2 linked regions of the Sus scrofa genome follow. The protein of the gene in region 1 purifies or fractionates together with the protein of each later gene. This does not show direct contact. Links are inferred from orthologs where the notes say so. Each region holds a gene or a part of one and is shown in the gene's direction. Other genes may lie near its edges.

The links.
Region 2: the proteins of TICAM1 (region 1) and TLR4 purify together in Homo sapiens (affinity purification with western blotting; 3 studies listed by BioGRID). This does not show direct contact. The link is inferred for Sus scrofa from reciprocal best matches to the Homo sapiens genes TICAM1 and TLR4.

The regions. Positions count from the first base shown.
Region 1 is NC_010444.4:73,997,414-74,012,521, forward strand, and holds the start of TICAM1 (TIR domain-containing adapter molecule 1), read left to right. Parts: upstream 1-7,152; 5' UTR 7,153-7,246; intron 7,247-10,784; exon of another isoform or gene 10,785-11,136; intron 11,137-15,108.
Region 2 is NC_010443.5:258,036,868-258,052,121, forward strand, and holds the start of TLR4 (toll-like receptor 4 isoform 1 precursor), read left to right. Parts: upstream 1-7,742; 5' UTR 7,743-7,990; coding exon 7,991-8,083; intron 8,084-11,953; coding exon 11,954-12,120; intron 12,121-14,702; coding exon 14,703-15,254.

The DNA.
Region 1 (15,108 bases):
TGGGGAAAATGAGTGGCGGGGGTCAAAAACTACAAACTTCGTTATATAAAGTGAATGAGTCTGGGATTGTAATGTACAAGCATGGTAACTACAGTTAACAACACTGCATTGCATATTTGAAAGTTGCTAAGGGAGTTGGTCTTAAAAGTTCTTTTTTTAAAAATAATTTTATTGGTGAGTTCCAGTCGTGGCTCAGCAGAAATGAATCTAACATCTATGAGGTTGCAGGTTTGATCCCTGGCCTCGCTCAGTGAGTTAAGGATCTGGTGTCGCCGTGAACTGTGGTGTAGGTCGCAGACGTGGCTAGGATCTGGCGTTGCAGTGGCTATGTCATAGGCCAGCAACTACATCTCTGCTTTGACCATAGCCTGGGAACTTCCATATGCCACAGGTACGGCCCTAAAAAGACATAAAAAGATTTTTTTCCCCCAGGACCCCACTTGTGGCATATGGAGGTTCCCAGGCTAGGGGTCTAATCAGAGCTGTAGCTGCCAGCCTACGCCAGAGCCACAGCAACGCCGGATCTGAGCCTCATCTGCAACTTACACCACAGCTCATGGCAACACCAGATCCTTAACCCACTGAGCGAGGCCAGGGATCGAACCCGCAACCTTATGTTTCCTAGTTGGATTCGTTAACCACCAGGCCACGAGGGGAACTCCAAAAAAAATTTCTTTTTTATTAGAGTATAGTTGATTTACAATGTTGTACCAATTTCAGTCTTAAAAGTTCCCATCACAAGAAACAAAAAATCTGTGGCTATGAGAGGTGATGGATGCTAACTAGACTTACTGTGATCATTTCACAATATATACATATATCAAGTTATTATGTTGTACACTTAAAATGAACACTATGTTGTATGTCAATTACATCTCAAAAAAGAAGATTAAACATTTGAAGGAAATGGTAAGAAAAAGAAGGTGCAGTTACAAATTCAAAATGAGATGCCACAGGAGTTCCCTGCTGGCATAGCATTTAAGGATCCAGCGTTGTCACTGCTGTGGCTTGGGTCACTGCTGTGGTGCAGGTTCGGTCCACGGCTTAGGAACTTCTGCAGGCTGCTGGTGTGGGAAAAAAAGCTAGATGCTACAGAAAACCTGCCTCTGGACACTTAGTAATGAGTATTTGCTGTGTATCAGGCACTGTGATTTAGACTTAAAGTCTGCAAACCATGGCCTGAGGGCCAAATACCATCCAAGGACTTTTTGTTTGTTGGCATGGCTCATGAGCTAAGAACACATTTTGTGTATTTCTTATTCTTTTTGAGCCCCAGCATGCAGCAGCTTGATGTGGGATTTCAGTTCCCAGACTAGGGATGGAATCCAGGCCACAGCAGTGAAAACACTAGACCATCAAGGAACTCTCCACCAGCTTACTTTTTTTTTCCGGTTGTGTCAGGGATCAAACCAGAGCCGTGGCAGTGACAACACAGCATCCTTAACCACTAGGCCACCAGGGAACTCCACACACTGATTCTCTTTTGATGACGTTTCCAAATCAAAATGAAACTATGAGGACAGAAACCAGAAGAGAGGTTGCCTGGTGGGTAGGGACAGAGAAGGGACCCTCGGGGAATCTGGGGGCTGGAAATGACCTCTATACATCGAGATGGCTACAGGGAGTGTGTCCATATGCAAAAACCCACTGAGCTGTCCAGTGAAGCTTTAGTAGACTTTGGTGCCCATGAATGACACTTCAGCGTAAATCAAGAAAGAGAAAGTAACACGCGGTCAATGAGGGAGGAAATGGGCCTTTTTGTTCACTTCCAGCCGGGGGATGGGAGTGAAAATAGCCACACTATTTTGGACAGCAATCCGTCAGTGTTTAGTAAGAGTGAGAATGTGTCTTCTCCACGTCTGAGAAGTCCCAGAAGTTCCCTTTCTCCGAAGCCACCCTTGAGAAATGCTGTCAACCAAGTCACTGAATCCTTTTATCAAGCCCAAGAAGCAGATTACAAGGGAGGGAAATTGAGGCCCGCCTCAGCCGGCTCACTTGTCATCCCACCTCATGGCTGATAAGTGTCAGAGTAAGGAAAGGATCTGAACCCAGCACTGAGGCTCTCCCTTCCCCCGAACTGTGTTCATAACCACCTCCCTAGAATGTGTCGATGCCTGCTTGGGGGGAAGAGTGGCAGCAACCAGTGTACCCAGTGATAGTGGACTCAGCAACTGTAATACAGCCACGCTTAGTGAGACCATAACACACTTAAAAAGGAACAAGGTTGGGGGTTCCCTGGTGGCCCAGTGGTTAAAGATCTAGGTTGTCACTGTTGTGGCTCTATGACCGCTACAACTCGGATTTGATTCCTGGCCCAGGAACTTCTGCATGCCTCAGGCACGGCCACCAAACAAGCCAAAGAGCAAGGTTAGGCTATATTTATTGGCTTGGAAAAATATTGGAGACATCGTCAACAGAATAAAGCTAAATATAGAAACTATCTGTGGGAGTTCCCGTCGTGGCGCAGTGGTTAACGAATCCGACTAGGAACCATGAGGTTGTGGGTTCGATCCCTGGCCTTGCTCAGTGGGTTAACGATCCGGCGTTGCCGTGAGCTGTGGTGTAGGTTGCAGACGCGGCTCGGATCCTGCGTTGCTGTGGCTCTGGCGTAGGCCGGTGGCTACAGCTCCGATTCAACCCCTAGCCTGGGAACCTCCATACGCCGAGGGAGCGGCCCAAGAAATAGCAACAACAACAACAAAAAGACAAAAAGACAAAAAAAAAAAAAAAGAAAGAAACTATCTGTCTGGGGTCAGCAAACTGTGGCCACTGTCTAGCCTGCCACTTGGTTTTGTAAATTGAGGAGTTCCCGTCATGGCTCAGTGGTTAACGAATCCGACTAGGAACCATGAGGTTGTGGGTTCAATCCCTGGCCTTGCTCAGTGGGTTAAGGATCTGGCATTGCTGTGGCTGTGGTGTAGGCTGGCAGCTACAGCTCCGATTAGACCCCTAGGCTGGGAACCTCCATATGCCAAGGGTGCAGCCCTAGAAAAGACAAAAAGACAAAAAAAAAAAAAAAAAAAAAGACACTGATAAAAACAGTTTTATGGACAGTGCCACGCCCATTTATTGACATCACCTGTGGCTGCTTTGGGACTATAAAGGCAGTGTCAGGTGATTGTAATAAAGATACTACGGCCCATAAGATCAGCAATATTTACTCTCCGGTCCTTTGCAGAAAAAAAATTTGCTGACTTCTGGCCAGTCTGCATAAAAAGCAAAGCCAGACCAAAGAATACGAAAGACGACTTTCAGGGAAATGTATCCATGTGTGAAAAGCAGAAAAGAGAGTGAATGGGCTCCCAAGTGAGAGCAGGAAGGAGAGAAATTGGACAGGAATGTGGACCTCAACTGGAACTTTTATTTCTTTAATTGAAGAAGGGAGATGCACAACTACACCTGTCTGCAGGTGGTCAAATGTATCCATCTGTAGCCCCTGGTTTCCCCTGGAAGCCAGGATGCTCCAGCCCTCATACCTTCTCTGAGCCTCAGTGTTCTCACCTATAAAACAGGCATGTTCAAACTTACCTGGAAGGGTTGTTTTAAGATATGGATCAGGGAGTTCCCTGGTGGCTCAGTGGGTTAAGGATCCAGCATAGTCACTGCTGTGACTCGGGGTTGATCCCTGGCCTGGGAACTTGCACATGCCATGGGAGCAGCTATAAAAAAGACAAGGATCAGAGGGCCACCAAGATGTGTTTGGCATGGGGACACGCATGTAATGGACATTCCAAAATTGGTGATGAGGGGAGAGGCATGGGAAGGTGGGTTTAAAGCCCTCTCCCTCTCCAGCTCCAAAGGCATCACCACTTCTTTCTCTCCCCTACCCCAACCCCGATACATCCCCAGAACCTAGCCATGCCTGCCTGGCATACAGTAAGCATTCAATAAAGTCTCTCCCTTGCAGGAGACAGGCACTAAGTGAGGCCCTGTGGTAGGGCTGGGGAGGGCGGGAGCATTTTGCATCCAGATAACTTCTATTTGCATTTTCCTCCCAAGAAACTTTGAACTTTGAACTGGAATCCAGGCACCCAGTGATAAAATTCAGGGTGTCCAATGAACGGATGGGGAAAAAACCCTCCTATCTTTGTTTTCTCTGGCTCTGACCTATAGTTCCCATTTTCTCAATTCTGAACTGAGGGGATGAGAAATCGCTGTGATTAATAGCCCTTGTTAGCTTATTTGGTGAGACACACAGAGAAAGAACCCTAAGCTATGTTTGTTTTGGTATAGTGCTATTTCAAGTCTTTTTTTTTTTTTTGGTCTTTTTGCCTTTTCTAGGGCCGCACCCAAGGCACATGGAGGTTCCCAGGCTAGGGGTCTAATTGGAGCTGTAGCCACTGTCCTACGCCAGAGCCACAGCAACGCCAGATCCGAGCCGCATCTGTGAACTACACCACAGCTCAGGGCAATGCCGGATCCTTAACCCACTGAGCAAGGCCAGGGATTGAACCTGCAACCTCATGGTTCCTAGTCGGATTGTTTTTTTGTTTTTGTTTTTGTTTTGTTTTGTTTTGTCTTTTGTCTTTTTGCCATTTCTTGGGCCGCTCCCTCGGCTTATGGAGGTTCTCAGGCTAGAGGTCTAATCAGAGCTATAGCTGCCGGCCTACACCAGAGCCACAGCAATGCCAGATCCTTAACCCACTGAGCAAGGCCAGGGATTGAACCCACAACTTCATGGTTCCTAGTCGGATTCGTTAACCACTGCACCACGACAGGAATTCTCCTAGTCAGATTGTTAACCACTGCGACACAACGGGAACTCTCAAGAGTCTTTTTGAAATGATTGCCTCGCCAAGGGTTTGAAAACAATGTTTTGTTGTGGTAAAATATTCTTGACATAAAACTTACTTTTTAATCATTTTTAAGAGTATAGCTTATCCAGTCTCTTGGGATAGAACATAATGGAAGAACAACTGAGAAAAAGAATATATGCATATGTGTGACTGGGTCACTTTGCGGTACGGCAGAAATTGGCATTGTAAATCAACTATAATAATTTTTTTTTTTTTAAAAAGGAGTACAGCTCAGCGGCATTTAGTACATTCATACTGTCGTGCAACCATCCCCACTATCCATCTCCATCCCTTCTTCCTAAACTGAAACTCTGTCCCCTTCCCCTCCCCCAGCCTCTGGCTCCACCATCTACTTCCTGTCTCTCTGGATCTGACTCCTCTAAGGACTTTCTATTCGAGGAATCAGTGTTTGATCTTCCATGTCTGGCTCATCTCACTGGACATAAGTTTCATGCATGTGTCAGAATTTCCTTCCTCTTTAAGGTTGAATAATATTCCATTGTGTGGGTGGACCCTGTTTTGTTTACCCATTCATCCAAGGATGGATTGCTAAGCAGTTTTTTAAAACACTTTAATAACTGTATTTCAACACAGTGGCCTTTCTTGTAACTTCTTGTACTGGGTTTTATGCATCTACCAAATGGTATTTTTTTTAAAAAGTGAAGTATAGTTGATTCACAATGTTGTGTTAGTTTCAGGGGTACAGCAAAGTGATTCAGTTATACACCCATACATATTTTTTCAGGTTCTTTTCCATTACAGTTTATTACAAGATATTGAATATAGTTCCCTGTGCTCTACAGTAGGCTCTTGTTGTTTATTCCATTTTTAAAAATTTTATGTATAATAGTGTGTATCTATTAAACCCAAACTCCTAATTTATCCCCCCACCCCCTTTCCCCTTTGTAACCATAAATTTGTTTTCCATTACAAATAGTATTTTGACTAGAGGTTCCAGATGACAAAGGGGCCCAAAGACATTACTTATGTCTTTTGTGGGCCCCTTCCTGCATTTAAAAATATTAAATTACATTTTACAACTGCGTTGGTATAAAGACATATATAATCCAAGTTGGCTTATATTCATTTTTTCTTCTGATTTTAAAAGAAATGAAAAAAAATTCTTTTTTCAGGCCCCTAAAAGTATGCTGGACTCGGTGCACTGTGGCTTAATTATGCTGAATGTATTTGCAAGCGCTGGGTCCAGGACCCCCAAAAGGTTGAGACTCCTGTGAATTTTTTTTCTCCATTGTTTTCCATATGCTGCCTTGAGCCATATGGAGTTCCCAGGCCAGGGATCAGATTCAAGCCACAGTTGTAACCTAAGTTGCAGGTGCGGCAACATGAGATCCTTACCCCACTATGGTGGGCCAGGATCAAACCCAGGTGCCAGTGCTCCCAAGACAGGGCAGATCCCGTTGAGCCAGATCCCATTGTGCCACAGCAGGAACTCCTCCTGTGAATTTTAGGAGTGGTTGTTTGCAGCTTCAGGATATGCCATCTTGGGAGTTCCGGTTGTGGCACAGCGGAAGCAAATCTGACTAGGAAACGTGAGGTTGTGGGTTCGATCCCTGGCCTTGCTCAGTGGGTTAGGGATCTGGCATTGCTGTGAGCTGTGGTGTAGGTCGCAGATGCAGCTCAGATCCTGTGTTGCTGTGGTGTAGGCCGGCAGCTGTGGCTCCAAAGGGACCCCTAGCCTGGGAACTTCCATGTGCCGTGGGTGCGGCCCTAAAAAAGACAAAAAGACCAAAAAAAAAAAAAAAAAAAAGATATGCCATCATGCATCTTGGAGTTCCCTGGTGGCTCATTGGGTTGAGGGTCTTGCATTGCCACTGCTGTGGCTCCAGCTGTGGCTCAGGTTCCAGGTTCGATCCCTGACCCTGGAACTTCCACTTGCAAAGGTTAGGCCCAAACAACAACAAACCAGATATGCCATCTTGCTGCCCCTCTTCCAACGACATGGGCGTCCCCAAACCCTTCCGGGAAGGCCATGATTCCTGCACCCCTCCACACCCCAATTATCCCATCCCCTCTGTTCGATTTCCTGGTAAACATTAACTACTAATTGAGATGAACTAATTTTTAAATTGTGGTTCTTTCTTGCTAGACTGTGCGACCCCGAGGGCAGGGCTTTTGTCCCTCTGGGCCCCTGTTGTGGTCCCCAGCGCCCAACGTGGCAGCGGGCAGAGGGAGAGAGGGTGTCATTTGGGGTGTCTCGGGGACTTTCCCGGTCCCGCTGGGAAAGCGTGATCTCACCTCCTTCCTCTCTCCTCCCCGGACGCGGAAGGGGCAGGCGGAGGCTGCAGGCGGAGACCGCGCGCCTCCAACCTCCGGCGCGCCCTCGGCTGCTGCCCGCACCGCGGTCGGGGCGTCGGGCCGTCGGGCCGTCAGGCCACCAGCCCCAGCCCCGAGGACTCCAGCAGCGCGGCGGCCGTCTCCATGGTTCCCTGGTAGGTGAGAAAGGGGTGAGGGCCGGCCGGGGAGGGGCGGGGGACCCCCGCAGGCCAACAGGGGGCCCGGTGCCCCTCGCCGGCGTTCGAGGCCAGCTGCCCCCACTTGGAACTTCTGCCGGCCTCCCTCCGCGTGTTCAGTGCTCCCCTCAATACTCCAGTTCCCTTCCCTGACCTAAGTCCTCCCCAGACCCCCAGCTCTTACCCGTCACCCCGAATCCTCCCCCAACACTCAGGTCTTCCCCTCCAACACCCCATTCCTTCTCCACATTTCTGATTTCTTCCCCGAGCTGGGCGCTCTGTCTGTTCCAGCCCCTGTTCCTCTCGCCCGCGATCGCCGCCCCCCGCCCCTCCCCCAGCCCCTCCGGGGCCTTGGTTGGGGGGGGGCTCCCCCTGCGGGAGCGCGCTGCCTCGGTCCGAAGTGTCCCATCTGGAATCTTCAGCACCCCCTACTCCCCATCTTTTCCCGCGGGGTACGGGGTTGGGTTGGTCGGTACCTGCCCAGGAGACAGACTATCCAGGACTGGTTTCTGGCACCACTCGGAGCCCGGTGGCCCCAGGCCTTCTTCCTGGCACCTGCGTTCCTTCCCTCTCCTTGTGGCTGAGACAGGGGTCTGGGGGAGGGGGCACCCCAGTGTGACCCAGGAAAGCTGGAAGCCTGGTGTCTAGGTGCCAGAGTTGGGGGGGAGGGGTTGGTGGGTGCTACAGGCTCTCGAACCTTCCTGGGCCTCTGTGTCTTCCAAATAAGGGACGTTCATTCTTTCTTCAAAGAACGTTTATGGAGCACCTGCTGTGTGGGGGAGACACTGTTCAGTATGCTGGGCACACAGTAGGGGCCAAATAGTGTCCTCATGGAGCCACATGGGGTAAAAAGCGTGGCCTGTCACAGGGGTGTGTGCCAAATGCAGAGGGCAGATATCTGGTGCCATCTCCATTGGCCAGGCTTGAGGATTCCTCAGATCCAGGCTTAGGAAGGAGACTGCACATAGTAGGTGCTTAGTGAGTAAAGGCAGGGGCCCCACAGCCAGGCTGCCTGGTTGAAATTCCTGCTGCTTTACTTTCTACCTGTGTGATCCCAGGCGAAATCACTTTACCTCTCTGTGCCTCCCTTTCCCACTGGTAAACAGGCAGTCAAAATAATCTTAGCTCACAGCCTTGCCCCTCCTTTGCACAGTGCCCAGCACATGGTAGGTGCTCAGCAAACATTTATTGAATAAATGCCCTTCAGTCTCCTGATGTTTTTCAGAGACAGTCTGGCTATGTTTTGGCTTCCGGGTCTCATTGGAACATTTCTTTTTTAGCCAAAAGGAGTGAATTTTGTCCCTGCTATATGCCAGTCCTGGTGGGAGCAGATTAGACTATCTTCTTGGGGAGGGAGGAGTCAAACAGGAAACATTTATTAGGTGCCTACTGTGTGCCGGATACTATTCCATCCACTTATTCATTTATTCAGCCAATAAGTATTTATAAGGTATACGTATCTATTTATGTAAGTATACCTACTGTGTGCCTGTCCCTGGAGATACAGCTGGGAACAAGACAGATGAACGTCCCTGTTTTAGTGGTGCTCACTCTGGTAGGAGGCAGTGCACAGTCAACAGAGTTGATAGGATAAATCCATAGTGTCAGGTGGCTGGAATTTGAAAGGAGAGAAATAAAGCAAGGAGTGTGGGGGATGGGCTTCAGTTTTAAGCAGGGTGTCCACGGTTGACCTTGGTGAGGAGGTGACATCCTTCAGGCAGACCTGAAGGAGGCGAGGGAGCCCGCAGTGTGGGTATCTGGGGAGAGGTACTCTAGGCTTTGGGAACAACCAGTGCAAAGGTCCTGAGGCAGGCTTATGCCTGGTGTGTTGAAGGAACAGTGTGGCTGGATCAGAGGAAGTGAGGGGGGCAGTGGGAGGGATGGGGGTCTGCAGGGAGGACTTGATCAAGTGACTCCTGTCAAAAACGATTCTTGGAGTTCCCATCGTGGTGCGGTGGAAACGAATCCAACTAGGAACCATGAGGTTGCGGGTTCAATCCCTGGCCTCTCTCAGTGGGTTAAGGATCCAGCATTGCCGTGAGCTGTGGTGTAGGTCACAGACGTGGCTTGGATCCTGTGTTGCTGTGGCTGTAGTGTAGGCGGGCAGCTGTAGCTTCTACTGGACCCCTAGCTTGGGAACCTCCATATGTTGCAGGTGCCACCCTAAAAAAAAAAAAAGCAAAAAACCAAAAACAATTCTTGATTTCTTCCCCCAATCCCAAACCAGCCGCTCCCATGTCCTCCTCATCTCACACATTCAAATGTCCAGGAATCCTTTCCCCCTCCTGCTCCCCTCCTGTGTCTCCAAATTATCCACACATCCATCCACTGGATCTCCTTCCTGGAGACCACCATCCAGTCTGGCTCCCATCATTGCTTAGCAGAGCCAGTGGTCCCCTCCACCCTGGTCCTCCCACAAAACCCAGCTCTCCTGCCCTCGCCCCCTGGCCCCCACCATAGCCTGTCCTCCCTGCAGTAGCCAGAGGGCACCTGTAAGCAGCTGAGTCCCTTCCATCACTGCTCTGCCCACTGCCCTCCAGGGCTCCCATCTCCTTCAGGGTAAAAGTCAAAGTCCTCACCATAGCCCGTAAGACCCTGCATGACCTGCCCTGTCCCCTCCTTTCCCTCCCTTCCTCCCTCTCTCCCCCTCCCTCACTCTGCTCCAGACACACTGGCCTCCTCCCTGTTCCTCCAGCATACCAGGCATGGTCCTGCCCCAGGGCCTTTGCACATGCCCAGCTCTCTGCCTGAAAGTCTCTTTCCCTGGATCTGCCTGCATGTGAGTTACAACCTCACTTCCTTCAGGTCTCAGCTCACTTGTCACTTCCAGAGGCCTCCATTGATCCCCAGTCCTTGGCAGCCTTTCCCCCAGTCCTTTTTGCCTTCCCTGACCCTGGCTCATGTCCTCGACAGCTCTTTCTATTCTCTGCAAATTACTTTCTCCTTCATTCCTGGTCTCTGGAGTTCTGAGAGGGCCGGGGGGGGGGGGGGGCGGGGGCTCAGCAGCAGCATCTAGAACAGCTCTTGGCACAGAGTAGGCATTCGGTTAATATCCACTCCACAAGAGTATCGATAAGAGAGGAAGGTGTGGGCATAATCCCAATGTGGTGAACTAATATAAAAGAAGAAGAAAAAAAAGAGATTCTGCCAGTATTTATTTCTGATTCGTAGGCTTTTTTTATATTGTTACACTGAGCTGTCGCTCATGAGGAGGGCTGCTTTTCTGCTCGTTTTTTTTTTTTTGTCTTTTTTTGTCTTTTTTTTTTTGTTGTTGTTGTTGTTGTTGTTGTTGTTGTTGCTATTTCTTGGGCCGCTCCCACGGCATATGGAGGTTCCCAGGCTAGGGGCTGAATCAGAGCTGTAGCCACTGGCCTACGCCAGAGCCACAGCAACGCGGGATCCGAGCCGCGTCTGCAACCTACATCACAGCTCATGGCAACGCCGGATCGTTAACCCACTGAGCAAGGGCAGGGACCGAACCCGCAACCTCATGGTTCCTAGTCGGATTCGTTAACCACTGCGCCACGACGGGAACTCCTCTGCTCGTTTTATGCACAAGGAAACAGAGGCTGAGAAGCAGGTCCTGCCAGCTGGCAGGGGGTGGACCCAGATCCCCACCCCTGTAGGTGCTCCCCTCCCCTAGCCCTGGCACCCACTGTCAGATGCCAAGTGGACTTTGTCCCGGAGGCCATGGAAGGTGGAGCCAGGTTTCTGGAAGCTTGAGGTGGCCTCTAGCCAGGGCAGATTGAATGCACAGGGGACACACCAAGGAACAGCATCTGGGGAGGGGGCCACAGCTGGCACAGTCACTGCATCGGGGCTCAGGCTGGCAGGCGGGGAGATGGAGAAGAAACACTGTGTGACTTTAGGTAACTTGCCAGGAGTGCAGGCAGGGGCAGTCCTGCCTCACTGATTCTTTATTTTTAATTTTATTGACGTATAGTTGATTTACGATGTTGTGATAATTTCTGCAGTACAGCAGAGTGATTCATTTATACATATGTATGTTCTCTTTCTCTCTCTCTCTCTCTCTTTTTTTTTTTTTTTTTTTTTTTTTTTTTTTGCCGCACCTGCAGCATGCAGAAATACCTGGACCTGGGATCAAACCCTCACCACAGCAGTGACAATGCTGGATCCTTAACTCCTTGTCCGTTGTGCCACAACGGAACTCCTATATATTCCCTTTTTTTTTTTGGCCGCCCCATGGCATATGGGGTTCCCAGGCCAGGGATCGAATCTGAGCCAGAGTTGCAACCTACCCCACAGCTATGGCAATATTGGGATCCTTAACCCACTGTGGCAGGCTGGGAATGAAACCCATGTCTCCACCACTGTAGAGACACCCTGGATCCCATTGCACTCCAGCGGGCACTCCTGTATTCTTTTTATATGCTTTTCCTTTATGGTTTATTACAGTATATTGAATATAGTTCCCTGTGTTATATAGTAGGATTTCATTGTTTATCCATCCTGTATATAATAGTTTGCATCTGCTGACCCCCAAGTTCCACTCCATCCCTCCCCCCTTCCCTCTCCTCCTTGGCAACCACAAATCTATTCTGTATGTCTGTGATTCTGTTTCTGTTTCATAGATAAGTTTATTTTTGTCATATTTTAGATATTATATATGATATTTGTCTTTTTCTGACTTATTTCACTTAGTATGATAATCTCTAGGTTCATCCATGTTGCTGCAGACGGCATTATTTCATTCTTTTTTATGGCTGAGTAATATTCCATTGTGTATCTGTACCACATCTCCTTTATCCATTCATCTGTCAGTAAATATTTAGGTTGCTTCCATGTCTTAGCTATTGTGAATAGTGCTGCTGTGAACACTGGGTTATAGGTTTGTCTGGATATATACCCAGTGAGGACAGGGTTGCCTCACTGATTCTGAGTCTGGCTGGCTCTGTTTACTTTTCCACAAGCCCAGCCCTGAGCCTCTGTTGTGGGGATGTCCAGTGAGGGGGCCTCCAGCTTGGGTGCCTGCTGGGGGTGGGCAGCTATCAGTCACCAAAGGCTCTGATGGTATGCCAGGCACTGCTCTGTGACATTTCTATGTGGATTAACTCAACTAATAGCAGCCCTCGAAGGGAGGGCTAATCCTTGTACCCATTCTACAGATGAGGAGACTGAGGCCCCAGTGTACAGGTAGCCTGTCCAAGGTCACAGCCTGGAAGCAGTACAACTGAGATTTGTACCCCACGGGCATGCTCCCACCAACTGCCCTCTCTTGCCCTGGAGGGGAGTCATTTCAGGTGGGTGTCCCATAGAGGGGGCAGCTTTTGGCTCCTAGACAAGGGCAGCTGACACTCCATTCTCACTGAATACCTGGATTCCAGGAGAACTCAGAACATGAGAATTTCATACAGACTCCTCTGTTCTATGTTGGCAGCTAAGTTGTTTGCTTCTCACAGTCTGAACGTTTGTCCTTTTAACTTTTTATTTGTTTTTTCGTTTGTTTTTGGCTGCGCCCATGGCATGCAGAAGTTCCCAGGCCAGGGATCAGACCTGCACCACAGCAGTGACAATGCTGGATCCTTAACCACTAAGCCACCAGGGAACTCCACTTTTAAGATTTTATTGATGTAGAACCTGACAATAGGACTTGGATCCTAAGTACTGAGCTTGAATTTTCAGAGTGAACACTGGGAAACAGAACTTGACGTCCAGCTCCACTCATGCCTGTCCTTTACCCTTTATCAGCTGTGCTTTTTTAAATTTCTTTTTTTAATTTTTAGGGTTTTTAATTTCTATGGCATATAGAGGTTTCCACACTAGGAGCTGAACTGGAACTGCAGCTGCTGGCCTATGCCACAGCCACAGCAGTGTGGGATCTGAGCCGCATCTGTGACCTACACCACAGCTCATGGCAGTGCCGGATCCTTAACCTACTGAGTGAGGCCAGGGGTCAAAACTGCATCCTCTTGGATACTAGTCGGATTCGTTACTGCTGAGCCACAATGGGAACTCTGAGCTGTGCTCTTTATTAGTTGAAAATTGGAGGGTGTGGAGTTCCTGTTGTGGCTCAGTGGGTTACGAACCCAACTACTATCCTTGAGGATGTGGGTTCTATCCCTGGCCTCGCTCTGTGGGTTAAGGATCCAGCAGTGCTGTGAGCTGTGGTATAGGTCGCAGACATGGCTCAGATCCCACATTGCTGTGGCTGTGGCATAAGCTGGAAGCTGCAGCTCTGATCTGACCCCTAGTCTGGAAAGTTCCATATGCCATAGGTGCAGCCACACCAAAAAAAAAAAAAAAAAAAAATTGGAGGGTGCATGTCAACACGCCTGATTTTTTCTTTTTAAGTTCTATAGGGAGTTCCCATTGTGGCTTAGTGGGTTAAGAACCCGACTAGTATCCATGAAGTTGCAGGTTCAATCCCTGGCCTTGCTCAATTGGTTAAGGATCTGGCATTGCCACAAACTGTGGTATAGGTCGTAGATGTGGCTCGGATCTAGTGTTGCTGTGGCTGCGGCCTAGGCTGACAGCTGCAGCTCCGATTCAACCCCTAGTCTGGGAACTTCCATGTGCTGGAGGTGTGGCCATAAAAAAAAAAAAAAGTTACTATACACAGAGCTGTTCCTAGGAGCCATTGAGAGGTGGAAAGAATAGTTGATCCGATGGAATTCCTGTCATGGTGCAGTGGTTAACAAATCTAACAAGGAACCATGAGGTTGCAGGTTCGATCCCTGGCCTTGCTCAGTGGGTTCAGGATCCGGTGTTGCCCTGAGCTGTGGTGTAGGTCACAGATGCGGCTCGGATCCTGCACTGCTGTGGCTCTGGTGTAGGCTGGCAGCTACAGCTCCGATTGGACCCCTAGCCTGGGGACCTCCATATGCGAGGTGCGACCCTGGAAAGACAAAAAAAAAAAAAAAAAAAAGTTGATCTGAGGTTCACTGCTATAGAGGGAGATTTCTGATATTTCAAGTAGGTTTATGCTTTGCTTTTTTTCTTTTTTCGGGTGCCCTATGGCGTAGGGAGTTCCCAGGCCAGGGATCAGATCTGAGCCACTGTTGCCACCTACGCCACAGCTGCAGCAACACAGGATCCTTAACTCACTGTGCTGAGCCAGGGATGGAACCTGTGTCTCCGAGCTCCAGAGATGCTACCGATCCCGTTGCGCCACAGCATGGGACTCCTCAAGTAGTCGATACTTCAAAAAGTTTTGGCTGACTTGTGGTCCCACCTGAACATAAGATCACTGTTGTTTTTATCCCATTTTGTTGCTAACAGCCAGCTCACATCAGAGATAGGAAAAACTATACACTTTGCCTTTCTCTTGCTGCTGCATTATGGCAGCGTCTTCTGTCTTCCGTTTTCCTCCAGGAGTACTCTGGCTGTGAGCTCGTTTCACCAGGGCTGGCTCAGCTGAAGCTACATAAGGAGTTCCCCAGTAGTTCAGCAGGTTAAAGATCAGTATTGTCACTGCAGTGGCTCGAGTTGCTGCTGTGACACAGGCTCAATCTCTGACCTGGTAACTTTCACATGCCTTGGGCATGGCCAAAAACAAACAAAAATTAGATAAGGTTGTTTCTCAGTCCATATAAGCTGGACTTTCTGATGATACACTTTGGAGACCTTCTAGAGCCAAGCGGCGTTGGTTCCAAAATAGCAGTGCCCCTTACATACCTTTTCTGGTACCAATTCTTCAAGATCTGGTATGTTATTTTTTCAGATCTCAATTCAGCCATTACATTTTTTTTTTTTTTTTTTAATGGCTGCATCCGAAGTTTTCATTGTGGCACAGCGGAAACGAATCCAAATAGGAACCATGAGGTTGAGGATTTGATTGCCGACCTCGCTCAGTGGGTTAGGGACCCAGCGTTGCCATGAAC
Region 2 (15,254 bases), on another chromosome or scaffold:
TCGCAGGATGTTTAGCAGCATCTCTGCCCTTTACTTTCTGGATGTCAGTAGCAATTCTTATTGCTCCCAAGCTGTGACAACCAAAAATGTCTCCAGTCATTGGCGAACATTTCCTAAAAGTAAAACTGACTCCAACTATTTTAACTGGGATTTTCTCCCAGATATCTACATAGCTAACAACTACTATGTCTAGTCACTTATGATGGAGCATGGTAATGGGAGAAAAAAGAATGTATATATGTATGTGTAACTGGGTCACCACACTGTACAGTAGAAAAAAAAATTGTATTGGGGAAATAGCAATTAAAAAATTAATAAAAAATAAAATAAGATTAAAAAAGAAAAATAAACTAAAATATATGCCAAAGTAATTCTAGCAAAAATGTTTACTTCTTTTTTTTTTTTTTTTTTTTTTCCATTAGGAAATTCTTTTTTTTTTTTTTTTTTTTTTTTTTTTTAAATTTTATTTAAATTTTATTTTCCCACTGTACAGCAAGGGGGTCAGGTTATCCTTACATGTATACATTACAATTACCGTTTTTCCCCCACCATTTCTTCTGTTGCAACATGAGTATCTAGACATAGTTCTCAATGCTATTCAGCGGGATCTCCTTGTAAATCTATTCTACATTGTGACTGATAAGCCCAAGATCCCGATCCCTCCCACTCCCTCCCCCTCCCATCAGGCAACCACAAGTCTCTTCTCCAAGTCCATGATTGATTTTCTTTTCTGAGGAGATGTTCATTTGTGCTGGATATTAGATTCCAGTTATAAGTGATGTCATATGGTATTTGTCTTTGTCTTTCTGGCTCATTTCACTCAGTATGAGATTCTCTAGTTCCATCCATGTTGCTGCAAATGGCATGATGTCATCCTTTTTTATGGCTGAGTAGTATTCCATCGTGTATATATACCACATCTTCCGAATCCAATCCTCTGTCGATGGACATTTGGATTGTTTCCATGTCCTGGCTATTGTGAATAGTGCTGCAATGAACATGCGGCTGCATGTGTCTCTTTTAAGTAGAGCTTTGTCCGGATAGATGCCCAAGAGTGGGATTGCAGGGTCATATGGAAGTTCTATGTATAGATTTCTAAGGTATCTCCAAACTGTTCTCCATAGTGGCTGTACCAGTTTACATTCCCACCAGCAGTGCAGGAGGGTTCCCTTTTCTCCACAGCCCCTCCAGCACTTGTTATTTGTGGATTTATGAATGATGGCCATTCTGACTGGTGTGAGGTGGTATCTCATGGTAGTTTTGATTTGCATTTCTCTTATAATCAGCGATGTTGAGCATTTTTTCATGTGTTTGTTGGCCATCTGTATATCTTCTTTGGAGAAATGTCTATTCAGGTCTTTTGCCCATTTTTCCATTGATTGATTGGTTTTTTTGCTGTTGAGTTGTATAAGTTGTTTATATATTCTAGAGATTAAGCCCTTGTCAGTTGCATCATTTGAAACCATTTTCTCCCATTCTGTAAGTTGTCTTTTTGTTTTCTTTTGGGTTTCCTTTGCTGTGCAAAAGCTTTTCAGTTTGATGAGGTCCCATGGGTTTATTTTTGCTCTAATTTCTATTGCTTTGGGAGACTGACCTGAGAAAATATTCATGATGTTGATGTCAGAGAGTGTTTTGCCTATGTTTTCTTCTAGGAGTTTGATGGTGTCCTGTCGTATATTTAAGTCTTTCAGCCATTTGGAATTTATTTTTGTGCATGGTGTGAGGGTGTGTTCTAGTTTCATTGCTTTGCATGCAGCTGTCCAGGTTTCCCAGCAATGCTTGCTGAATAGACTTTCCTTTTCCCATTTTATGTTCTTGCCTCCCTTGTCAAAGATTAATTGACCATAGGTGTCAGGGTTAATTTCCAGATTCTCTATTCTGTTCCATTGGTCTGTCTGTCTGTTTTGATACCAGTACCACACTGTTTTGATGACTGTGGCTTTGTAGTATTTCTTGAAGTCTGGGAGAGTGATGCCTCCTGCTTGGTTTTTGTTTCTCAGGATTGCTTTGGCGATTCTGGGTCTTTTGTGGTTCCATATAAATGTTTGGATTGTTTGTTCTAGTTCTGTGAAAAATGTCCTGGGTAATTTGATAGGGATTGCATTGAATTTGTAGATTGCTTTGGGTAGGATGGCCATTTTCACAATATTGATTTTTCCAATCCAGGAACATGGAATATCTTTCCATTTTTTTACATCTTCTTTGATTTCTTTGATTAAGGTTTTATAGTTCTCGGCATATAGGTCCTTTACCTCTTTGGTTAGGTGTATTCCGAGGTATTTGATTTTGTGAGGTACAATTTTAAAAGGTATCGTATTTTTGTATTCCTTTTCTAATGTTTCATTGCTGGTATACAGAAATGCAACTGACTTCTGAATGTTAATCTTATATCCTGCCACTTTGCTGAATTTATTAATCAGTTCAAGGAGTTTTGGGGTTGAGTCCTTAGGGTTTTCTAGGTATAGAATCATGTCATCTGCATACAGTGACAGTTTGATCTCTTCTCTTCCTATATGGATGCCTTTGATTTCTTTTGTTTGTCTAATTGCTGTGGCTAAGACTTCCAAAACTATGTTGAAGAGCAGTGGTGAGAGTGGGCATCCCTGTCTTGTTCCAGATTTGAGTGAGAAGGCTTTCAGTTTTTCCCCATTGAGGATTATATTTGCTGTGGGTTTATCATAAATGGCTTTGATTATATTCAGGAATGTTCCCTCTATACCCACTTTGGCGAGGGTCTTGATCATGAATGGATGTTGAACTTTGTCAAATGCTTTTTCTGCATCTATTGAGATGATCATATGATTTTTGACCTTTTTTTTGTTAATGTGGTGTATGATGTTGATTGATTTGCGTATGTTGAACCATCCTTGTGAACCTGGGATGAACCCAACCTGGTCATGGTGTATAATTTTTTTGATATGTTGTTGGATTCGGTTGGCTAAGATTTTGTTGAGAATTTTTGCATCTATATTCATCAATGATATTGGGCGATAGTTTTCTTTTTTGGTGGTATCTCTGCCTGGTTTTGGAATGAGGGTGATGGTGGCCTCATAGAATGTCTTTGGGAGTATTCCTTCTTCTTCAACCTTTTGAAAGAGTTTAAGGAGGATGGGCACTAATTCCTCTTTCAAAAATGTTTACTTCTAACAGAAAATTCTGAACTTATTTTAATAGGAATATGGGAAAAATAAACTCTACATTTATTTGTTAAAAAAAAAAGAATTTTCTCAAAATGTCACTTTCTCAGTGAGGCCCATACTGACTTCCCTGTTTAAAACTTTAGTATCAATTACATTGAATCATACTATTGACTTTTTTCATTTTTATACTCATAGATTTTAATATCTTCTAACACATTATGCAATGTACTTATTTATAATTGCTCTTAGCGCTTTCCTTAGAACATGAGCTCAAAGCAAGCCAAGGTGCCTCTTTTCTTCACTGATATATGCTTAGTGCCTAAAAAAGTGCCTGGCAGATGTAAAACCACTTAATACGTATTTGGTGAATGACTGAATTAGTGAATGTTAGTAAAAATTTGTGTAAAATTGTAACATTTCCAAGTACATGCACATGTATTATCTCATTTAACTTCCAAATAATATTACTAATGAGGCCACAATGTTATTTTCCTTGTACAGTTAAGGAAACACAGTGATGTTGAAGATAAGTTACATACCAGAAAATGATGATGCCAGGAAGTAAAGAGGATAATAAAATATTTTAAAGTATAGCCTTCTCTATATTACACTGTATTTTCCAGGGTCTGCATGGACAAGCAGAGATCTGCTGAATGATTTGGTTGAGGACAGAGATAGAACAAAGAGAGAAGACTGTCTTGCCATAATGAACCAGCCACTGCCTCAGGTTCATGGCTAAAAGAAACAAAGAGGATTTTTCTACCTCAAGAGAAGCCAGTTTTTATGGCAATAAGGACTTTTACCCTAATCCACTTACTGTAACTCTACTATTCTCTGTGTTGCTTAAACTGAGGTACATGTACTTTCAGGGACTATTAGGAGGCAGAAAAGTATAACACCATAAAGGTATAAAGAACAAGTATTTAAAAGAAAAATAATGAGAAGAAAGCCACAGAATAATTACTGAACATATTATAAGAGAATATCATTACTCAGTATGGAAAGGTGACAGATACTCTAAAATACCGGCTACATATTAAAAAACAAATTCAGATATATTGTTCATTGACCCATTCACTAATTACTTACTGAGTATCTACCCATGCATTCAATATATGTGAACAGTAGACAAAGCCTCTGTCCTCATGGAGTTTTTAGTCTAGTACAGAGACAGATAATACGGAGATAGGAAATTCAAAATAATTTTTTAAAAAATCTGTAAAGGAATGGATACATGTATATGTATAACTACTTTACTTTGACGTACACCTGAAACTAACACAACTTGTAAGTCAACTATACCTCAATGAAATGTATTAAAAAATAACACAGGAAATGCCATAGACATTTCAGGCTGGGGAGCAGTAGGCACTACTATGGCTGTTTGCCTTGATAGCTCCTGTGGGGTACACTCTCTTGCTCCTGGTACCAGATGTTTTGGGGAGAAAAATCCTGAGATGTACAGGGCAGTACTTAATGTGACAACCTTAGCCCTAGAGACAGGAATTGGGTCTTTGGTGCGAGAAGACTATCCTTCACGCTTCTGCTTAAGAGCAATGTTTTTTTCTACTGTAGATCACAGAAACATGGTTTCAGGGCATGCTAATGGATACAGGGCTGGTAATGGGTATTGAAGGATAAAAGAGAATCACCATGGTTCAAAAAGTTTAGGAAACCTTGAGTCCTCTAGCTTCTTTGTAGATGCAAAACACCCATTAGTACAGCACTTGTTCCAAGGAGTACTTAAGAAACAATCATCTTTATTATCTAACCATTTATTTTCTTGACTTGAAAAGAGCCCCTCACTTTTTTTTTTTTTTTTGGTTTTCTTATTGACAGACTATTCCTCATTGAATATAATGTACCCATGATCATTAGATGTACTATTATCTCACTTGCCACAAGGAAAGCCAAAATAAGTCTGCCAATAATAATTGTAATATATTGTCAATTCTGAGACATATTCTGATTTGAGAGATGTTAACATGTGAAAAAATGTGAAACTTAGAATTGTTGGATGGAATCAGATTTGGTTCTTAGCAATGCCCAACATCGAGGGCCTTTCTTCTCTGAGCCAGGCTATGTTGTGATTGTACACTCTTACTAATTTATTTGAAATATCATGAAATGTATATTAAAGGATGCTAAGGCTGTGGCACAGATAACCCACTGAGAGTTCTGTGTTCTTTCCATAGGGTAGAACAGAATTGGTGCTGTACAGCAGAAACCATCAGTGACTCTGTGTGTGTGTCTAGTGGGGGGTAGAATGAGAGGCTTGAAATCTAGATGATACACAGCCTCAGACCATTATTGACATGGCTAGTTTTACTTGCATTTTAGGAAGATTGCTTCGATTTCAGGATAAAGGCTGGATTGGAAGGGTTGAGACTTTGAAAGAAGCGCATCATCTTCCTAAGGGTTAAAGTGTGTTTTCTTTCAAACTGGGGGTCTGGGAGAACCTTTAACAGTGCATTGCAACACTGCAGGCCAAGGAATGTGTTCAATCATCATGTGAATAGAAATGAAGACTGATACTTTAGAAATGATTTTACAGATGAAATCTCTAGGCTTGCTGGAATGTTTTGTTTTAAAGTGTTGATTCTACTATTATGCAGGTTTCAGGAGCCGATTGCTCTTGAAACAGTAGTTTGTTACTCATGGTTTAAGAGGAGACACAGGACACCCTGCAGAGCCACATGGGAAAGCACTAGAGACCCTCAGGAGGCAGAAGGAGCAAGGGGAAGGCACTCTTCACTGTGGCTCCTTTGGGAAAGGCAAGAAAGGGCAGGGTAAGCAGGCTTAGGATTGGCTAGTTTGAGTAAGGTCAGCAGGGTTTGGGGTGTAGGGGCTTTCTCTACTTGTCTGGTACCTGGCCCTGTTATGATTAGGGCAGAAGAGGATAGAGGCCAGACACCGGGGAGGGGGTTCAGAGTACAGATTCTGGTTTGGTTAGTTTGCACATGAAAGGTATGCTCCAGAAAAAAATCATATGCTATCTCTAAGAACTGGCCAGCTCAGTCTAGCTCCATGAGCCAGGTCCCCAAAGCCTGGGCATCAAGAATACAGAAATAAGAAAACAACATTAATACACATTTGATGAGTGAAATGAGGAAGTCAAAGAGATATCCATTTTGGATGACTATGGAAGTGAAATGTTTTTAACTTTCAAGGGAACTAAGCTTTATTGGGTACTCACTCTGTGCCAGGCATGACTTGAAGACCTTTACATGGTCTCGATTAATCCTCAAAGCAATGTTTGGGACTATTTTTAGCTTAATTTTACATGAGTGCTGAAGAAGTTTGCAAGAGTTTGTGCTCCGTCCCCTGTGACCCATTCCCTCACAGCTTGATTTTAGATGTGTTGGATTTGAGGTCCTTGATGGATATCTTGGTGGAACTATTTAGGACACAATACCAGCAATGGCACCATTTTAAACTATGTTCCTATTTAACAGAAACTTACATTGTGCTTTCTACACTCTAAACATAATCTGTCCTAAAAGCTTTACAAATGCCACCTTATTTAATCCCATAACAATAATTTGAGGTACATATTAGCACCCTCATTTTATTCATATTTTTAATCATCTTAATAGCCTCCAATTTGAGGAATATCCTGATGAACCATGCAGTAGAACAGGCATTTTATGTAAATCAGCTTAATTCAGTCACACAATATGAATGTGATTATATCCATTTTAAAGACCAGAAAACGAATGCTTTCGTGGCTTGCATCATTTGACTACTATCACATGGTTTTATTGTTATAAACTTTATAAAGGTGAATTTCTGTTGTGCTTAAAACTATTATCCCATTTTACAGACCAGAAATTGTCTCAGTCGTTTAAGAGACTTGACCAATGCTACAAGGCCATAAACCACCCAGCCAGGATTTGAATTTCAGTATATTTGATTCTTCATCCCAATCTTTTCCCAATATTCTTGTACTTTTCAAACGGTGTTTCCCTGGAGCCCTATTTTCAATGTTTCATAAATGTGGGCTTCTTCACAAGATTTCATAAAATTGGACAGTGCTATGAGTGAATCGCATCCTCTGCCAAAATTCATGTGCTGGAGTCTTTATTCTGGTACTGCAGACTGTGACTGTATTTTGAGAGTGGGTCTTTACAACAGTAATTAAGGTAAAAGGAGGTCACTACATCATATGGGTGGATCCTAATCCAGTATGACTGCAGTCCTTATAAGAAGAGGAAATTAGAACAGAGACACACAAGAGGAAAGAACTTTGGCACAAGAAGGAAGAGATAGCCATCTACAAGCCAAGGAGAGAAGCAGTTAACCCTGCTGACACCTTGACTACAGACTTCCAGCCTCTGGAACTTTGTGAGGAAATCAACGTCTGCTGTTTAAGCCACCTAGTCTGTGGTATTTTGTTATGGCAACCCTAGCAAACTAACACAGACAGTAAATTTCCACTAGTAAAACAAAAGTGGAAAGCCACCGTCCCAGGCAGTTAGTCACACAGGCTGTTTGACCAGTCTGACTGTTTTCCTAAACTCAACAACACTGAGGTCAGATGACTTCCTGGGATAAAAGCCAGCTTCCTCTTGCTATTACTCCAGCTCCGGTCTACAGGTTTTCTTCTTCTTCTTCTAACTTCCCCTCTGGTGACAGAGGAGATAAATATTAGAGAAACAAAAGTCCAGAATGCGAAGGCTGCCATTCTCACTTCCTCTTACCCCTTAACCCAGTGCTGCTTTGAATAGAGTCAGTGCCCCCGGGCAGTGTGCTGAGGAGAGAAGACGGCAGTGCCTGGGAGGCTGCTCTGACCAGCAGATACAGAGGGTCATGCTTTCTCCGGGTCACTTCTGTTCACGGAAAATGCCAGGATGATTCCTCGCATCCGCCTGGCTGTGGCCACGATCCCAGCCATGGCCTTTCTCTCCTGCCTGAGATCTGAGAGCTGGGACCCTTGCGTGCAGGTATGTGGTAGGAGTCTGCTCAGCTTCCCCTGAGCTTTGCCTTGCTTCTGAAAAACTGCTCTCTGCCTAGAGCTTCCCTTGGTGAGCCCTGGTTAGTTTCATTAGCAAACAGAAGTCAAATTACCTTAAAGACTTAAGAGACCAAAGGGACCAAAAAATTCATGGTAAGAGCGCACTAATAGGCAGCCCATGGGGTTTTGTCCCACCTAGGACTTAAAGGGCTAATGGGACGTTAGGTCAGATAGACCTGTTTAAAATCACTGCCTTTCCAATTCTGGGCTGTGTGACCTTGAAGAAGTTACCCAACCTCTCTTAGACTAGTTTTCACATCCATAAAAGAATTATAGGCTTCAGTACAGAGTTGCAAGAAGCCTGCTTCCTGTCATTCCTTTCTGTTGGTGGTTTGCATACTCTGCTTTGAGCTGTTTTATTTGCCCCTTTCAATCTCAGGAAGATATTTTTAGTCTCTTAATAGAAATTTCTAAGCAGATTTCCAACTTCTGGTCATAGTTCTGTCCAAACGATAAAAAGACAGAAGTTAGAAAAGGAGAGACAGAGAAAGAGAGAGAGAAAGGAATGAAGAAAGAAGGAAAAAAGAGACAAGTTATAAAATATCAGCTAATGTAATGCTTGCTTTCTTTGTGAAACATCAATCAGTTGGTTCATAATCTCATTACTGATGGATTTTGTTTGTTCTTCCACTGCATGGACTTTACAATTGCTTTGGAAGCCCATGGCAGACCCAAACAGCCACAAGAATGTCCTGGATTTAGGATGTGGCAGGGTCAGAAACTCAAGAAAAGCATAACCTGCCAGAGTCCTGGCACTGGGGACATGGAAGAAACAATATACTTTGATATGTAACAAAGACAAATCTGTTATCTGCAAGTCCTCTGTTTCCCCAATTCCCTTCTCACTGTCCTCCTCTCTGTGTCTTTCCTGCTGTTAGGTTAGTAGGTATAGATCCTCCAATCATGCTCCCCCCAGGATAAAACCAAGGGGGGGAGGGGGGTGGCAGTGGGGACCATGTGGCTCCTCCTTCTCCCATGCTCCCAATACTCTCCATTTCCAAAGCTTGCCCAACCCTTCTCTTCCCTCCAGGATCACTCTGGGGCAGATCCTCAGTTCCCTTGGCCTTGACTCTTGGACAGGGACTAGTCTCATGTCCCATTGTCCCTGTCATTTAATCTAACCTGTACATTTTTGTTGTTTGTTTGTTGCAGTTTTTCCTGAGGTTCAGTTCTAACAAATTACCATCCTTAAAAACTTGCACTAACTCTCCATTGCTATCAGGACCTTTTCCTGCCATGGGGCCTTTGCCGTGGCTATTTCCTCTAGCTAGAATGCCTTCCCCGTAGATCTGTGGTGCTCAGTGGTAATATCATAGGGTCATGTGACATTATTTAAATAATAAATTTAAGTAACTAAATTTAATTAAATTTTTATTCAACTAAGTTAACTTTTTAAACTAAATTTAAAATGTAGTTTTACATTTTCTAGTAGCTACATGAAAATATAAAAAGAAGAAAGTGAAATTAATTTTAATAATATTTTTGTTTAACTCAGTACATTCAAAATATTATTTCAAAATGCAATGTATACTAAAGCATTAATAATATATTTTACATTCCTTCTTTGGTTTTAAGTCTTTAAAATTTAGTATATATTTTACATTTGCAATATATCTCAGTTTAAACTATCCATATTTCTTATGCTCATTATGGTCAGTATGTCCCTATTGGACAGTACAGCCCTAGATATTTTTATGACTTAATCCCTCATTTCATCCAGATTTCTGCTTATATGTCACCTCCTTCAATAAGTCTTCCTTGATTGCTTCACATAGAGCACCTCACCCCCCATATTTGCCACTAGTTTCCTATGCTGCTTTATTTTGATAGCACATTTTTGTAGCACATACACATATAGGTGTATATTTATATTTTATATATATATAAAACATGTATTACCTATGTTTTATATATATATATAAATATATATTTTATTTGTCTATTGCTTGTATTTTCCTTGAAATGGAATCTATAAGAGGTCAAGATAATTTCTGGTTTTAGTTATGACTCTATCCCAGTGCATCTCACATTATAGTTGCTCATTTAAATGTGATTGAAAGCATTGCCACAGAACAAAGTACGAGGCCTCCTATCTGGCCCTCCCCTCTGGTTGAGGTTTTGCCACTCCTGCCACACAACGTTAATCTGAGCTAGTTTTTCACCCCTCTGTACTTGCTGTGCCCTCTTCCTTCCTCTCCTTCCTTTCCATGTATCCAAATCTCATCCTTCCAGACCCACCTTGAAATTTTCTCTTTCTTGGAAGCCTTCTACAGTCTATAATCTCTGGATCCAGTATTGATCTCCACTTTTTAATGAACTAAGGAGAAAATGTTCTAAGTCTGGTTTCATCCCCTTTTCAGGAGTCTAACTTGTGCTTTTCTTTTAACTCTCTCAGTTGTGAGCTCATTGAAGTCTAGAGCCATATCCCATTGGTCTTTGTGTTGTCTATAGCACTTAGCAGAAAATGCCTTCAACTGGGTTTTGAATAAACATCTATTTAAGCAGTTATCCATTCATTTATTCAACAAATATTTATAGATCATTAACTATTTCCCAGGCACCTTCTGACTGCTGCAGACATAGCAGAGAGCTAGACTTTCAAAGCTTGCAGTCTAGTGAGGAAAATGAATAGTATATATGGAACATATGTTCATAATATTACATAGTGATTCGTCCTGTGAGGGAGGATAAAAGAAGGCAAGGGAAGAATGCCTGAACTATCACGTATTAGACAGTATGGTCTGTGAGGACCCTATGGGGAATAATATTTTAGGAGACAAGTGAATAAAGCAAAGAACTGCACTATGGCCTGTAAAACTTAACACACATTACTTCATCTTTCTAAATTCTTCTTTAAAAGGTTTATTTGAAGATTAAATTAAGGTATGTTACATATAAGAAACAAGCCGGTATATAGTGGGGAATTAATAATAGCCAATAATAATATATGTTAACATGTATTGATCATTTACACTGTAATAGGATTTCATACCTTTAAATACCTTATCCCATTAATCCTTTTAACAGATTCTGTTGGTTTTAAACTGAAAACCAAAATTAACTGGCTTAAGCAAGGAAATTTGTTGAAGAAATCAGAGACTTAGGAAATTAAACTGGAGGTTAGAGAACAAGACTTAACAAAGAATTTGAGAAAATATGATCGAAACCAGCAGAGGAACCAAGGCAGCATCAAGCACTTGATCTTATTTACTAGGTTCTACCATTGGAGTCCATGCACCTCAAAGATATGTCCCCATTTCTATCTCGTCTGCTCAAAGGTCAGCGATCCAAGGGAAAGAATACAATGCCAAAAACTGGGGTATGGCTAAGAGAGATCTGGATATCTGACTGGCCGCTTCCCTAAGCTTCTATACAATGAAGGCTATATTCAGAAAAACAATGGCCTTCCTTGCCTCAAATCACAGGGAAGAGCTAGGGTGAAACCCAGAGCTTTTGGACTCTAGAGCCTCAGCTCTTCACTACTTGCCTTGACTGCTTCACGATAAATGGTGCCATTGTGGTAGTAGAGGTTAAACACTGGGTACAGAGTAGTTTTCCCTTTTCCCTTCCTAATCCAGAAAAAGATATTTTATAAGAATGAAGTGAGTGGATACAGGAATGGATGGGTGGATAGATGAACAGAAGATTGGATGGAAGGATGGATGGATGAAAGAAGGTTGACTGGCCCCTGTGCCTATACCAGTGGCCTCCTAGGCTCTGGTCTAAGAGAGGGGAGATGCAGGGAAGTCTGTTAGGGTGCATGCAGGAAGACACTGCATCTAATGTCTGATTATTTCAGGTGGTTCCTAACATTAGTTACCAATGCATGGAGCTGAATTTCTACAAAATCCCTGACAACATCCCCACATCAGTCAAGATACTGGACCTGAGCTTTAACTACCTGAGTCATTTAGACAGCAATAGCTTCTCCAGCTTTCCAGAACTGCAGGTGCTGGATTTATCCAGGTAATGCATGAGCTTTTACCACTATCCAGAGCAAAATGTTCATTGTTCTTTCATTTAATTCTTAAGTAAGAAAGCTTGATTAGTAGAGTCTCATCTTCATTCACTTATTCATTCATTCAACAGATGTCTTATTTGCTATAAAACTTTGGGTAAGCCACCTCCTTCTCCAGGTCTCAGCTTTCTTATCTCAGAAATGAGCAGTTGGATAAGTCAGTTTCTCAGGACAACTCTATCTTTGATTTTAAGTCAGGGAAGTAAATTGACTCCAACTCTTTCATCAGCAGATATTAATTGACTACTTTCTATATGTTGTTAACTCTGCTGGGAAACAAGAGTCTGCTGATATATAACATACAACCCTAGCTATAAAGGAGGGCCTATCCACTTGAAAGAACTAATATGTTAAAATCCTGAGCAGGGTGCTGGGCACAGAATAGACATTCAAAGATGTTACCTGATTCTGATTCCGTATTTTTAACCTGAGATAAGGATAGGTGATAAGTTATTAGCAAACTAGAGGTGACACATCATGTTATTTAGAAAAGAGACCTTCTATGCAGCGAGTAATCAAGACAGATTTCACAAACTGAGCGGGATGCCAATAATGTCTGGAATATTGAAAGTGAGGTAGAGGACCAGGACTTAAGAAGAAACAAGTAACCTAAAGAGAAAGATTACAAGATCAAAGGAAAACATCTGTGGTGAGAAAGAACAGTGACTCAGATTATTTTCTAATTCAGGGAAGTATATCATTCATTAGCATAGGTGGAGTTATTGTCATAATTTTTGGGGGAATTGAATCCTAAAATGATTTTCATCATCAGGGACCTTATTTAGAAATGTACTAGATAATGGACTATAATCTTTAAAGAGTTTGTAAAACATGAAGAAATACTGTATATATGACATTTTACTATAGAAACTCTTAATAAAGGTGAAGAGGATGGTAGGTGTTCCTGTAGAAGGGTAAGCATCTGACGTTTTATGCTCTAACATGGACATTGATAGACTGTAATGAAGGGGGAAATGGAGCATTTTAAAGGCAGTGGCATGGAGCCATACGGAGGCCAGAAGACTTGAGCCAGGTCCTCCTCCAACAGTTATTGACATATGGCCTGAGGAGTGTCGCTTCAACTCCCTAAGTCTCAGTTTTCACATCTGTGAAACAGAAATGATGATCTTTATCCCATATGGTTAATTGTGATACTGAAGATTAACATGCCATGTATTTTAACAACCTCACAAAGTAGACTTTATAAGTATAAAATACTATTAGAGCATTCCATTAGTTTATAAAAATCTCAGTTTTCTGAGTAAGAATTCTGTCAAGAACTATACTGAATTTTGTACAAGAACTCTATGGAATTGAAGTAGACAAACCAACCCTCTTTTTTTAAAAAAAAGATTAAGAAGTGGTTTCTTATCAAACGCTGTCTATTATAAATCATCTTCGACCCACCACATACCCAAGGAATGACTCTCAGAGTCTTTAAATATGTGCTTAGAGAATGGCCAGCTTCCCTTCCTGGTTAGCCAGGAGGAGATTCTGGATTAGGGCAAGGACAATTAATAGTGCAAAAGATAAACTCTGCCTTTTCTTTTTCTTCATTTTTAATGTTTGATTTAAAATGTTGTACCAATTTCTGTTCTACAGGAGAGTGACTCAGTTACTCTTTTTAAAAAACATTATTTTACCTCATGGTCTATCTCAGGAAACTGGATATAATTCCTTGCTATACAGTAGGATATAGTTGTCTATCCATTCTAAATGTAATAGTTTGTATCTGTTAACCCCAAACTTCCAGTCCACCCAATTCCCTAAACTCTGCCTTTTCATACTGCTTCACACTGCTTAAGTACAGTACCTCTGCTTGTCTTTTAAAGATGCTTTGTGATAGACCAGTCAGCCTTTTTTTTTCCTATGGAAATCTATTGATACATATTTTTTTCTTTCTGTAGAGGAGAAAGAAGGTGAGTTTAAGAGGTTCATATATGTTCACATGTCTTGATAACGGCAGACCAGAAATTCATGTCCGTATCTGCTGCTTCCAAGTAAAATGTTCTCTTTGTCTTTAATACTCTGCTTCTCTAAAAGCCCCCTTGTATAGAAATCTTTTCATGAACGTTAAAGATATCTGTTATTTTGATGTAATCTTTTATATATTTAAAATTGAAATTTACCAGTTATTTATCATGGCTAACAACCAACTATCTGTGTCATATGCACCAACTGCATATATAATCACAATTTTACATGACAGGAAATGTCGAAAGTTGATCCACAGCTCTGTCTTCATGGGTCCCCAGTATTGATCTTTAACTGATTTCCCTCTGATGGATGAGCTGCCTCTGTTTAGTGTGGTGCACCTAGTGTGACAAAAAGATAGTGATGGTGGCCAGTATAATTGTACCAAATTTGTGGGCCTCTTCATTGCTTTATCTGCCTCACTTGATATGTTTGCCTATGCACCATCATATGGCATGCCACGTCTGTGTGAAGACTTAGATGACTGGGTTAATATTTCATTCTAATTTTTTATTCAACAGAAACATTATATAATCTGTACCTTTCTTCCCTATAGATGTGAAATTCAGACAATTGACGATGATGCATATCAGGGCCTAAATTACCTTTCCACCTTGATACTGACGGGAAATCCTATCCAGAGTTTAGCCCTGGGAGCCTTTTCTGGACTACCAAGTTTACAGAAGCTGGTTGCCGTTGAGACAAACCTAGCGTCTCTAGAGGACTTCCCCATTGGACATCTTAAAACCTTGAAGGAGCTTAATGTGGCTCACAATCATATCCATTCTTTCAAGTTACCTGAATATTTTTCTAACCTGCCCAACCTGGAGCATTTGGATCTTTCTAAGAACAAAATCGAAAATATTTATCATGAACACTTGCAGGTTCTACATCAAGTGCCCCTACTCAATCTCTCTTTAGACTTGTCCCTGAACCCTTTAAACTTTATTGAACCAGGTGCCTTTAACAAAATTAGGCTCAATGGATTGACTTTGCGAAGTAATTTTAATAGTTCGGATGTAATGAAAACTTGTATTCAAGGTCTGGCTGGTTCAAAAATCAATCAGTTGGTTTTGGGAGAATTTAAAAATGAAAGGAACTTGGAAAG